2 linked regions of the Drosophila melanogaster genome follow. The protein of the gene in region 1 interacts with the protein of each later gene in a pairwise test. Each region holds a gene or a part of one and is shown in the gene's direction. Other genes may lie near its edges. The genes, in order: Su(var)2-10 and Uba2.

Evidence for each region.
Region 2: the proteins of Su(var)2-10 (region 1) and Uba2 interact in a two-hybrid assay, tested with the Drosophila melanogaster proteins (one study listed by BioGRID).

The regions. Positions count from the first base shown.
Region 1 is NT_033778.4:9,114,569-9,121,609, forward strand, and holds Su(var)2-10 (suppressor of variegation 2-10), read left to right. Parts: upstream 1-1,553; 5' UTR 1,554-1,754; coding exon 1,755-1,883; intron 1,884-2,049; exon of another isoform or gene 2,050-2,588; coding exon of another isoform or gene 2,589-2,609; coding exon 2,610-3,284; intron 3,285-3,348; coding exon 3,349-3,589; intron 3,590-3,646; coding exon 3,647-3,881; intron 3,882-3,937; coding exon 3,938-4,104; intron 4,105-4,170; coding exon 4,171-4,259; intron 4,260-4,319; coding exon of another isoform or gene 4,320-4,331; coding exon 4,332-4,479; coding exon of another isoform or gene 4,480-4,505; exon of another isoform or gene 4,506-5,184; coding exon of another isoform or gene 5,185-5,263; exon of another isoform or gene 5,264-5,342; coding exon of another isoform or gene 5,343-5,385; exon of another isoform or gene 5,386-5,537; intron 5,538-5,731; coding exon 5,732-5,970; 3' UTR 5,971-6,209; coding exon of another isoform or gene 6,210-6,238; 3' UTR 6,239-6,248; downstream 6,249-7,041. Other genes in the region: Phax (phosphorylated adaptor for RNA export), read left to right, coding at 1-615, 671-762, 816-1,092, 1,151-1,365.
Region 2 is NT_037436.4:8,124,749-8,129,829, reverse strand, and holds Uba2 (Ubiquitin-like activating enzyme 2), read left to right. Parts: upstream 1-2,011; 5' UTR 2,012-2,125; coding exon 2,126-2,269; intron 2,270-2,323; coding exon 2,324-2,478; intron 2,479-2,531; coding exon 2,532-2,819; intron 2,820-2,875; coding exon 2,876-4,391; 3' UTR 4,392-4,503; downstream 4,504-5,081. Other genes in the region: Cds (CDP-diacylglycerol synthase), read right to left, coding at 40-216, 282-378, 622-746, 1,461-1,571; mRpL36 (mitochondrial ribosomal protein L36), read left to right, coding at 4,792-5,081.

The DNA.
Region 1 (7,041 bases):
CACAAAGCAACAGCGACTCCTCGACTGCCGAATCCTCCGAGGACGGGTGCATCAAGAAGCTTCGTACGGAATCCACCGGACCCGACGGCCACAAGAAGCGGAAAAAGCGCATTCGGCGCACGGTAATGCGGCGCGTTCCGCCCACGGATGCTGAAATGCAACCGAATCGAGCCCGTTTCAAGAAGTACAACGTGTGGGCTTCTGCCCTGCAAGAGGATGCGCTCAGCGAGAATATGCGTGGCTGCGACGTTACCCGAAGCGGTCGGGATCGAAATGTTGAAAACTACGACTTCTCATTGCGATACCGGCTGAACGGCGAGAACACTCTAAAGCGACGACTCTCAAACTCTTCGGAGGACGGCGGCGAATGCTCCCATCCAGCTCACAAGAGGGGAAGACCTTCTAGTCGGCCCATCACCGGGAATCAACAGCGCGGTTTGGTCAAGAGTAGAACGGGTCACCGGTCACGTCGTGGGACATCTTCGGCCAGCGGATCTTCCGATTTCTGCGAGCCCAGACACATTCTGGACTTAAACGAAGTGGGTGAGAGAGATCCTTCGGATGTGGCTACCGAAATGGCCAGCAAACTGTACGAGGAAAAGGACGAATTACTTGGTGAGTATGTGAAATAAATAATGCCCTACTTAGTAAATAATGCCAGTTTTACCAGTTCGAGTCGTGGAGGTTCTTGGCATAGATGTGTGCCTAGAGCTATACAAGGAAACTCAGCGCATTGAAGCCGATGGCGGCATGATGATCAAAGTAAGTAGTAAAGGATGTTCCCCCGAATATACTAACACGATACCTCGAAACAGAACGGCATACGGAGACGTACACCAGGCGGGGTATTCCTGTTCCTAATAAAGCACCACGATAACATCACTCAGGAGCAGCAGAAGCGCATTTTTAGTGAGGATCGCCAGAGTCTGAGCAAGTCTCGAAAGCAGATCGAAACGTTGATGCGGGACCGTAAGGTGGAAGAGTTGAAGAAGTGCCTCAGCAAGCAGGTTACGGAACTGCCGACGTTAAATCAGCGCAAAGAGTACTACATGCAGGGCGACGAGCAAAGTGAAGATAAGCAACCGGGCAGCTGTAAGAAGATCCCATTATTATTGTTAAATCTCCTATGTGACTATTTTGACTATTTCAGTGTCCAACCCGCCACCCTCCCCTGTTGGCGCTGAGCAGGAGCACGACAGCCCTGAGTACAGGACCCACGAGATCAATATAAATCTTGTGGACAATGCGGAACTTCCCTCCACATCCAAAGCAGCGGCGGCGGCTCAGGGAGCGCCGCTGAAGGATTTAATCAGCTACGACCACGACTTTCTGGACGTCAATTGCGGGGACATGGACTTTTTCTAGGCCCACGCCAAGCGGCGGGCCCCTTTTATACTATTCTTGCATAGATAGACCCATATTTGTACAATTAAATAAATGCCTAGCGAATTAGGAATCTACGAAAGTAACGGTTGCTAACAAAGTAAACAAACGCACGCGTTAGGGCATTTTCGGGCTGCGTGAGACAAGACTCGGCCAGGCGGTAGAGATTTCCGCAGTGTCGATCGATAGTGTCAACTCTAGTCGGCCCACAGCGACGACGCCGCGTAAAATATTTTTGTTTCTCCGCATTCGTTGAAAAACAGCGGCAATTGCTTGTTTTTATGTGTGGTGCGCGTCCCAGGCAAATGCAAACGAGTCCGCGACTTCAATTGCCGAACGCCTAACGCCACCGTGAATAGAAAATAATAGTGATGCGAAAGACCCGCTCTCAGACGGCTCGCACGCAGGCGGAAAATGCCGCAACATCTTCGAGCCCCGGGCACCAGTCGACTTCGTCAGCGCCAATAGCAGTTAATCCCTTTGATTCCACCAAGTACAAGGTATGTTTCCGCCAGTCTCAGTTTATTCAGTCCAAAGAATTTTTCATAAATATGGGGGCCATGGTTATTGATAAGCAGTGTGACCGCAGAAAAAAATGGTGTCTGTACCCTTCCCCACCCACGAACAGAGTGATTTGCCAGCCAAATCCGCCGGCGCTTAACAACACTATCATCCGCCATATTTCTTCAGACCGTGCGGACAAAACAAAATTCGTGTGACAAAAAAGGGGGCATTTTTGCGGTAGTTTGTTTAAGTGCAATTTGCGAAAGAAGGAAGGCTGCCAGTGGCGAACACAAGCCTTACCAAATTTTCTGCATATACCAACGTTAAAAGCCACTGAAACCCGATCGGTTCCACGAAAAGAAACTTTTTGCGAGAACGCCATGTTTGAGCATCTAGGTAATGATTTGGTGGCATGCGGCAGTTTCGGACCAGTAAATTATCCACAGATGGGAAAAATGTGGAAGCCAGGCTTTTGTCCGACTGTCAAGCAATCACTTGGCATATAATGTAGAGCGAATTTATGATTTTTTCTGCATAAAGCCGCACAAGGCATACGCATGTGTACATATGTGCGAAAACGCGATATTTGCATATAGAGCGCGCTTGTGTGTGTGTTCGTGTGGACGCTTGGTGCTAAGTCCCGCTATTTGGACATAGACACCTTCCCAATTTTCCGAAATACAAAATTTTCATTGTTCGCCATGCCATTTCCGTCTCTTCAGGAATGTGAGCAAATGGTGCAGATGCTTCGAGTGGTCGAGCTGCAAAAAATCCTGTCGTTTCTGAACATCTCATTCGCTGGACGAAAAACTGACCTGCAGAGCCGCATCCTCTCGTTCTTGCGCACCAACTTGGAACTGCTTGCCCCGAAGGTCCAGGAAGTCTACGCCCAGTCCGTGCAGGAACAAAACGCCACGCTGCAGTACATCGACCCAACCAGGATGTACTCGCACATCCAGCTGCCGCCCACCGTGCAGCCCAATCCCGTGGGCCTCGTGGGCAGCGGCCAAGGTGTGCAAGTGCCCGGCGGCCAGATGAATGTGGTCGGCGGCGCACCCTTCCTCCACACACACAGCATCAACAGCCAGCTGCCTATTCACCCCGATGTGCGGCTGAAAAAGCTAGCCTTCTACGATGTACTCGGAACGCTAATTAAGCCTTCAACTCTGGTGCCACGCAACACTCAGCGCGTCCAAGAGGTGCCTTTCTACTTCACGCTCACGCCGCAGCAGGCCACCGAGATTGCCTCTAATCGCGACATTCGCAACAGCTCCAAGGTGGAGCACGCCATTCAGGTTCAACTGCGCTTTTGCCTGGTGGAGACTTCGTGCGACCAGGAGGACTGCTTCCCGCCGAACGTAAACGTCAAAGTGAACAACAAACTCTGTCAGCTGCCTGTAAGTATTATCCGATTATCCAATCAGGACCTGGTATAATATCCTGCTCTTTATTCCAATGCAGAATGTCATTCCTACAAACCGACCAAATGTGGAGCCCAAGCGTCCGCCGCGACCCGTTAATGTCACGTCCAATGTAAAGCTGTCGCCTACCGTCACCAACACCATAACGGTTCAGTGGTGTCCGGACTACACTCGTAGCTACTGTCTGGCCGTATACCTGGTAAAGAAGCTCACCTCAACACAGCTTTTGCAGCGAATGAAGACGAAGGGCGTAAAACCAGCGGACTACACGCGAGGCTTAAGTGAGTTTTCTGTGCTCCAATGATGCAAACTTAATAATAAATACCATTTTTTTAAAGTCAAAGAGAAGCTGACTGAGGATGCTGACTGCGAAATAGCCACCACTATGCTGAAGGTTTCCCTTAACTGCCCGTTGGGCAAGATGAAAATGTTGCTGCCTTGTCGAGCATCAACCTGCTCGCATCTGCAATGCTTCGATGCCAGTCTCTACCTGCAAATGAATGAGCGTAAGCCCACGTGGAACTGCCCTGTATGCGACAAGCCGGCCATTTATGACAACCTGGTCATAGATGGGTAAGAAATGTCATTTCATTTAGCATATTTGTAACTGATTAAACTCTGTTTTCCAGCTACTTCCAGGAGGTGTTGGGCTCGTCGCTTCTAAAGAGTGATGATACTGAGATTCAACTTCATCAGGATGGATCTTGGAGCACACCAGGACTACGGAGCGAGACGCAGATCCTTGATACGCCTTCAAAGCCCGCCCAAAAGGTTGAGGTTATATCGGATGACATAGGTAATCGCCTAACACGCAACCTTTTAAATTGTTTTGACATTAATCAAGTTTTTCGGACATTACCAGAACTTATCTCGGATGACGCCAAGCCAGTAAAGAGGGATTTGTCCCCAGCACAGGACGAACAGCCCACATCAACGTCAAACAGTGAAACTGTAAGTAGAGAGCACCAATCTACAACCTACCAAACTGTCTTATCATATGACTGTATTCTGTCTGCGCAACAGGTTGACCTAACGTTAAGCGATTCAGACGACGACATGCCGCTGGCTAAGCGTCGTCCGCCCGCCAAGCAAGCCGTCGCCAGTTCCACGTCGAACGGCAGCGGTGGCGGCCAACGTGCCTATACCCCGGCACAGCAGCCCCAGCAATCCGGTACGTTGGATCCCTTTTTGCAATAAGCCAGTAACGAGAATTATATCTCTGTATAGCCAAGAAATCTTTATGTTTACAAATTGCTAATTGTAGACCCTAGGGTAAAGTAGTTATAAGAATCCATACACATCCCATTTACATACATCCACACTGACTCAACCACGCTTCGGCACCAATAATTTAGACAAAGGAATGAAATCCTAACAAGATCAAGCATTTAGGTTTCGGTTCACCTTTTACGGCACACCTCTAGGACATCATTTAACGTAAAAGTATTTTTTTGGTGCATCAATTGTCTTAAATAATATTAGAAAATTTTAACTGCAAAAGTTCGAAAGAGTATTCACATTGTCCAAAATGAAAATTACATATATGTTACATATGATTCTGACTTCATCATCACTTATTGTTATTCAAATATAATTAGGTCCCCGATTCCGCTTATGACTTTAGTGCATCATTTGATTTTAGTATGAGTACACCCAGTTAAAATTAACCCAATTTTACGTGTAGTATGTACAAACATATGTTTATGTTTCAAAAAAGTGACCAGAAGGGCTATTTATCATGATAATTTTGTGTTAGATCTACGGAGTCCAGCATCGAAAAGGTTTCCGTAGATTTCGTAAAATCCCCTAGCCAAAACTTGTATAGACTAAGTAGGCTATAAATTGACTCTATCCGCTTTCGTTGCTTGTATTGTAGGTGGTAATGTTTTTAAAAAACCTCAGAAAGCGGAGGAGCTTTACAAGCGTGTTCATTTAGGAGTTTGGCTGCGCCCACGGTATGTTTTCCGTCGATCGATTGTGAAATGGTTCGGGTTTGGAACAAGAATCCCATACTTAATCAGAACATTCTTACAGAAAACCCAAGCCAGAGAGCTCAAGGCGCCCAAACGTCGGCTAAGCAAAGTTAATAGAGTATTTTTCGGTTTTATACCACCATTTGTCCTAATTCATTTTCAATGTATTTTCTGTTGTCACCGAATCTAAATTATTTCACGATATGTACTCTTATTTTAAGTGATAATTTTAATAAATCATGCCAGTTTGTTAGTGAAGGTTTTTGTTGAGAGCCTCTTTTCCGATTGTTGTTGTGTTAACCTAAACCCAAGGTTATATGATGATAATAACTAAACTAATTCAAGTAACTTGTGCATTTCTTTGTCTTTTTTCTTTCTCTCTCTCTCTTTCTCTTCTTCCCCTGATCTTTTTGTGTGACCCGTCCATGCTGCCGCCGATGCAACTCGTAGAATCCCCAGAACAGCAGGCCAGCCGCCAATCGCCAGAGAAGCAGACAGTCTCAGAGCAGCAACTGCAGCAGCAACAGCACGAGCAGCCAGCGACGGCAGCCGTCCATGCCTCCCTCCTGGAATCCCTGGCTGCTGCGGTCGCGGATCAAAAGCACTTCCAACTGTTGGATCTGGCTGCGGTTGCGGCTGCTGCAGCTGCCACGGCGTCCTCCGGCCAGAGCCAGAATGCCGGCCCGTAGGCAGGACCCACATCCCACACACATTAATCGCACATCTCGCGGCTCGCGGTCTCTTACTGTTATGGTCCCTATATTGGCCCGTCCAGTTTCTGTTTTCGGTTTCACTTCCGGTGGCGCACGGCCACATATTACCTTAGAGGCTATTCTTCGGCGTTCGATTCGCCGCCTTGCATCACCTCATTATTCATACTCTATCAATCGCGAGCCACCAACTGATGCTTGTAATTCTTGTGTTGCAGGACGCAGGCATAACAGACAGGTTTTGTAGGAGAGGGTCCCCTGTTCCCGAATGAATCCATGTGCTCCCCCATCGGCCAGATTGTTGCTGCCCCTTTTTTCAGTTGGCTCACACCAAAACACTTTGCTTACGTCCCGTGTCTTTTATTCGTGTCGTCTCGAGTAGTTAGTTGTGTTACGCTTTGCCAGCGCTCTCAGCAACACACGCCACACCACACAGCAACTGAAATATTCCTAGATATTGCAAATACACAAACTAGCACCAGCATTAATTAGCAATTACTATAGGAAACGCAATTAATTTATTTTCCATTGAAGCGGTCAGCGCAATGAACACTATGAGGAAAGCGAAATGAAAGGATGCATGCCAGGCGGCGGCCAGTCGCGGCACCAAAATTTAAAGTAGTTAAGTTATTTTAGTTAAACTACGGATTCTGTACGGATTGGAGGCGGTGCTGTGTGCAGTTGGAGGGTGTTGCAGTCCTCGCATTTAAGTTACGTTGCAAGACAGGGCGGAATGGCATATGGCATTAAAGGTCCATAGTATTGAAAGCAATCGAAGCCGTTTTTATCAATGCAAATCGATTGGAAACGACGGATTATGTATGTTATGTATGTCGTCCAGCTAGACGCTCAGTTTATATGACCTCCCTGGCCTTTGTTGGCGTATTTAAGCTCAAACCGTACCACCACGGATTTATATGTTAAGATTTAAAATTGAACAATGCTTTGACTATGACATGATGCAAACCCCCTAAATATCTGAACGAACAAATATGAAATCAATGTACAAGGAGATGTGTACTTTAACTATACGATTAAACAATTTTCAAC
Region 2 (5,081 bases), on another chromosome or scaffold:
ACCAGGCGATATAATCAGGTTATTGTATTATTTACTGACCACCCGATTAATTACAACGCCAAAGTAGTCTACCAGATTCTCTCCGTAAAAGAAGTAATTTGAGGTAAGCAGGAAATACCAGGAAAGGCTTCGGAACCAGGGCAAGCCATGAATTCGATAAACCTGGTAGCCAATCGAGATGATCTCCTGGAAGCACTTCACCTGCACCAGTAACGTCTGCAAAGAGAAAGTAGGACAACGATTATTTGAAGACTCGTTTAAGCGAATTCCATTAAACCTACCGTGATCATCAAGGCCAGCGGTCCACCATAGATGATCAATGCGAAGCCGCAGATCATAATCCATGTGAAGATGCCGCGAATCACCCAGTTCTTCCATCTGTGGAATGCGCAAAAAATAATTGTTTGTAATTGTACATATTTACTTTTAATATTTGCTCGCCAACTGTAGACAGCTGTGGATATGGATTATTTTTGGAACGCACTCATACTCATTCTGTCGGATTTATAAAATTCGCACTTCAATAAAATATTTTTTGAATCATCAATTCCAAATCGACCTTTAGCTATTCATCATGATCTTTAAAGATCCCAACTACGCATATGGATTTGTTTCACATACCTATCCGGCAGATCCTTGAGGGCCGAGTCCAATATCTCGGGCGTTTTGTCGGTTCCCTGCGGCAGATTCTTGGCCAGTTCGTCGACGAACTTCTCCTCGGGAATCTTCTCTTCCTCGGAGTCCACCTGGCAGGAGGAGGAGCAAGGGAAAGGGAAAATTCACTTATTGATTGCATTGGCTGGGACTGCAAAGTAGGTTTCCTATCAGATTCGATACGACCGGAGTGCAGGGTTTAAATACTTTCTATTGGACGACGCCGAGCAAAGTCCATGATACGTGTATGTATGTGCCTATATACCCATAATCAGAATCACTCGTTTATCCAATACACAGGCACATAAAATAGAGAGGGGAACCAAGTGGGGAGAAAAATTGCGGGTTTTTTTGGGTGGCGTGTTTTGTTGCCAAATAGCTTGGTTGATAAGGAGGCATTATCACCCAGCAATAACAAAAAAAGTCCAAGCCAGAAAGGGAGTCTGGTCATGGTAATGGTTTCGGCTCTGGGTTCTTGGCCCAGTGCTTCCCTAATTGGCGTAGTCCATCTAATTGGATTTGCTGGTCATAATGGCGCTATATTGCAACACAGCAGGTGGGTGGTTGGGTGGCAGGCAGGCTGGCTGGCTAGTGGTGTGTTTTGTGTTTGTTATTGGATTTTCTCCAGGAGAGAGCTCTCTCTTCTTTCTCCCACCTGCTTGTGCGTCAGAGAATAACAAAAACACATAGCCACACACATTTGTTGGTATACACACATTGGCTTTTCTATGCTCCAAGAATTATGCAAATTGGTGTCCGGAACAGCTGCCGCTCGGCTGCTCCACATACAAGTCATTGCTACTTACATGGTCCGAGGAGTCGGCGGCGGAGTTGCGCTTATTGGCTGCGTCAGATCCGGAGATGGCCGTGTCCTCCAGTGGCTCATCCTCGCCCTTCCTGCGTCGCACTTCGGCCATTATTCGATGTTCGCCAGATCTATTCACAATGTATTGATTCCTATTGATTCCGCTTGAGCAGTTCTCGTCCGTGTTCCGCTCTCCGCGTTTGCCGTTTGCCGTGACCCGTGCTGCGTGATCCGTATGTCGACTTCGTCCGAATTAAAATGCTTTTCTCTATTTCTGATTAGCCCAGCATGCAGTGTGCCCAGCTTGCGCAAAGTGGGCTGGTGGAGCAAAAGTGTTGGCAAGTATGCTCAATTGCTGTTAGGTTTTACAAGTTGACTTTTCGGACAGAAAATGTTTGATGTCTTTTAAAAGAACTTTCTTTTTCTGTGCAATTAACGGTGACTTTTGTCGTAATATGTAAAATAAAATATATTAATAATACTAGAAAAGTTAATTTAAGTGATAATAAGAGTCACCCATATCAGCCATCCCTGGTAGAGAATATCCGTAGCTTTATACGTTTCCCAACACCTGCACCGGCGGCGTCACTTTTCTCGGCTTTTCCGTATCGCAATTTTGCAATTTTCTCGCCAAAAATAAGAAAAAGGAAAACGTAAATTCAGAAAATGGCAGCAGCTATCAATGGTGTTTTCCCACCCACATTGCAGGAGCTGGTAAAGAAGTCCAAGGTGCTGGTCGTGGGCGCCGGCGGAATCGGCTGCGAGGTGCTCAAAAACCTTGTGCTTAGCGGCTTTACAGACATCGAAATTGTAAGTTTTTTCGAAAAAAGTATTCCATATTATTAATTTATAAACGTTACCCAGATCGATCTGGACACAATTGATCTTAGCAACTTGAACCGACAGTTCCTATTCCATCGCGAGCACGTTGGAAAATCTAAGGCACGGGTGGCTAGGGAAAGCGCACTGAGCTTCAATCCGGACGCTAAGATAACCGCTTACCACGACAGTGTAACATCGTAAGTTGGGATAGCTTTGCCTTTACATCTTGCTAACAACACATACCTTTTAGTACTGATTATGGCGTCAACTTCTTTAAGAAGTTCGATTTGGTGCTCAGCGCCTTGGACAACAGGGCCGCCAGGAATCATGTAAATCGCATGTGCCTCAATGCGGATGTCCCGCTGATCGAGAGCGGCACCGCCGGCTACAATGGCCAGGTGGAACTGATCAAGCGTGGACTCACCCAGTGCTACGAGTGCACTCCAAAAGACAAACAGCGAAGCTTCCCGGGCTGCACCATACGCAATACGCCCTCCGAACCGATTCACTGCATTGTCTGGGCCAAGCATCTCTTTAAGTGAGTATACCTAATAATTAGTCTAAATTGCAGCAAATCTATTGATTTATTTGCAGTCAACTGTTTGGTGAGTCCTTGGAAGATGAGGATATTTCTCCTGATGCTGCTGATCCCGATGCAAAAGAAAAAGACGGCGGCGATGGAAATGGCGAGCCCAAAGGCGATGGGAAGGAAAAAGGCGAAGAGTCAAAAGAGGAAAAGGAGGCCAAGGAGGATACTGCCAACGGCAACATAATGCGCATTAATACTCGCCAATGGGCCAAGGACTGCAACTATGATGCGGGCAAGCTGTTCAACAAGTTCTTTAACGAGGACATTACCTATTTGTTGCGTATGTCGAATTTGTGGAAGACCCGCAAGGCACCCGTGCCCGTGCAGTGGGATACCCTGCTGCCCGAAGGATCCTCCGGTGATCAGAAGGATGTGGCCAAGCAGCATCACAAGGTGTGGTCCATCGAGGAGTGCGCTCAGGTCTTTGCCAATTCATTAAAAGAGTTGAGCGCTAACTTCCTGAAACTCGAAGGCGACGATACTCTGGCTTGGGACAAGGACGACCAGCCAGCCATGGATTTCGTGGCGGCCTGCGCCAACGTGCGATCCCACATTTTCGACATTGAGCGAAAGTCAAGGTTCGAGATTAAGTCAATGGCGGGAAACATTATTCCTGCTATTGCCACCACAAATGCGATTACGGCGGGAATTTCCGTGATGCGGGCTTTCAAAGTGCTGGAGGCCAAGTGGGAGCAGTGCAAGGCCGTCTATGCCCGACTTAGACCAAATGCACGAAATCACTTCCTTGTACCGGACGCTTCTCTTCCTGGCCCCAATCCCAATTGCCATGTATGCGCCAGCGATCCGGCCATTACTCTCAAGATCGATACGAAGCGCATGCGTATAAAGGAGCTGCGTGACGAGGTCCTGGTTAAGACGCTCAACATGTTGAATCCGGATGTGACTGTGCAGAGCAATGGCTCCATTTTAATCTCCTCAGAGGAGGGCGAGACCGAATGCAATGACGGCAAGCTCCTAAGCGAATTAAACATTGTGGATGGTGTGATCCTCAAGTGCGACGACTTCTTCCAGAACTACGAGTTGAGTATTATCATTTCCCACTTCGATGCGGAGCGCGATGAAAACTTGTTCGAAGTCGTAGCAGATGCCTCACAGCTGAAGCCAAAGGATGAGGATCAGAAGGAGGCCGTGAAAGACAAGGAGGATGAACCGAAATCGGCTAAGAAGCGTTCTACCAACGGGGAAGGAGACTCAAAGGACGATGGACCCTCCACTTCGAAGCGCAGCCGGCCCAACGAAGTGGTTGAGGAAGATGACGATGACTGTCTGGTAATCGAGGAAGACGAAGACCAAGCAGATGTTGTTGTCGTGGCCACAGACAAGCTCTCTGTGCAGAGTCCCCCAAAATCGGGCTCCAAGCGCAAGCCATGTGAAGTAATCGAGGATGAGGATATCACCGAGATTTTGGAGTCGTCTGACGACGAACCCGCGGGACCAACCAAGTGCAAACGTTCCCGCCTGGACGATTCGAACCCCGTGGCAGTCATCAGTATCGATTAATAAAAAAAAGAAGTTTTTATTCGAATAAGTTCTCAACTGCGCACTAAATTATGCTCTTGATTCCCTGTAATTTCATTCTGATTTAAAATAAAAACACATTTTTGTGGATGATAAAATTTTTAAATTTTTGTGCTTTGAACGGGTTTGGTTTTGCTCTACTCGATTAAATTCAAATAATCCAGTGCGAGAAATGTAATTTTATTAAATAAAAGAAATATAAAATAACATTTAAAATTAGTCAAATTTTTAATTCGATAACTTTTTAACGCCAACCAGTGCTGCGAAGCACTGGAAGTCATTGTGCCTGTTATCGGTTTCTGACCAGTTCAATCCAAAACAGAAAAAGGTGAGCTGTTCTACAAATTTTCATTGTAAATCTCAATGAAAATGCAAATTTCAGATGTCCCTGGCTAGTAGAATACTGCAACAAGGTTCCCGCTTGTGGAATGGTCTCAGTGCCGCGCGTGGTTTCCACCTTCTCACCCGGCCGGCGGCTCCTGCAATTGTATCAATTCAAAGCTCGCAACTTGTGGCCGCCACAACTGGAATCTGTCAGACGTCGGGTCTGCTGACGCCTGGCTCCACTTTGGTCCAGCAGGTGGCGGGATTCAAGGTCAAGGGACGCCTGAAGCGACGCTGCAAGGACTGCTACATCGTGGTGCGCCAGGAGCGCGGTTATGTCATCTGCCC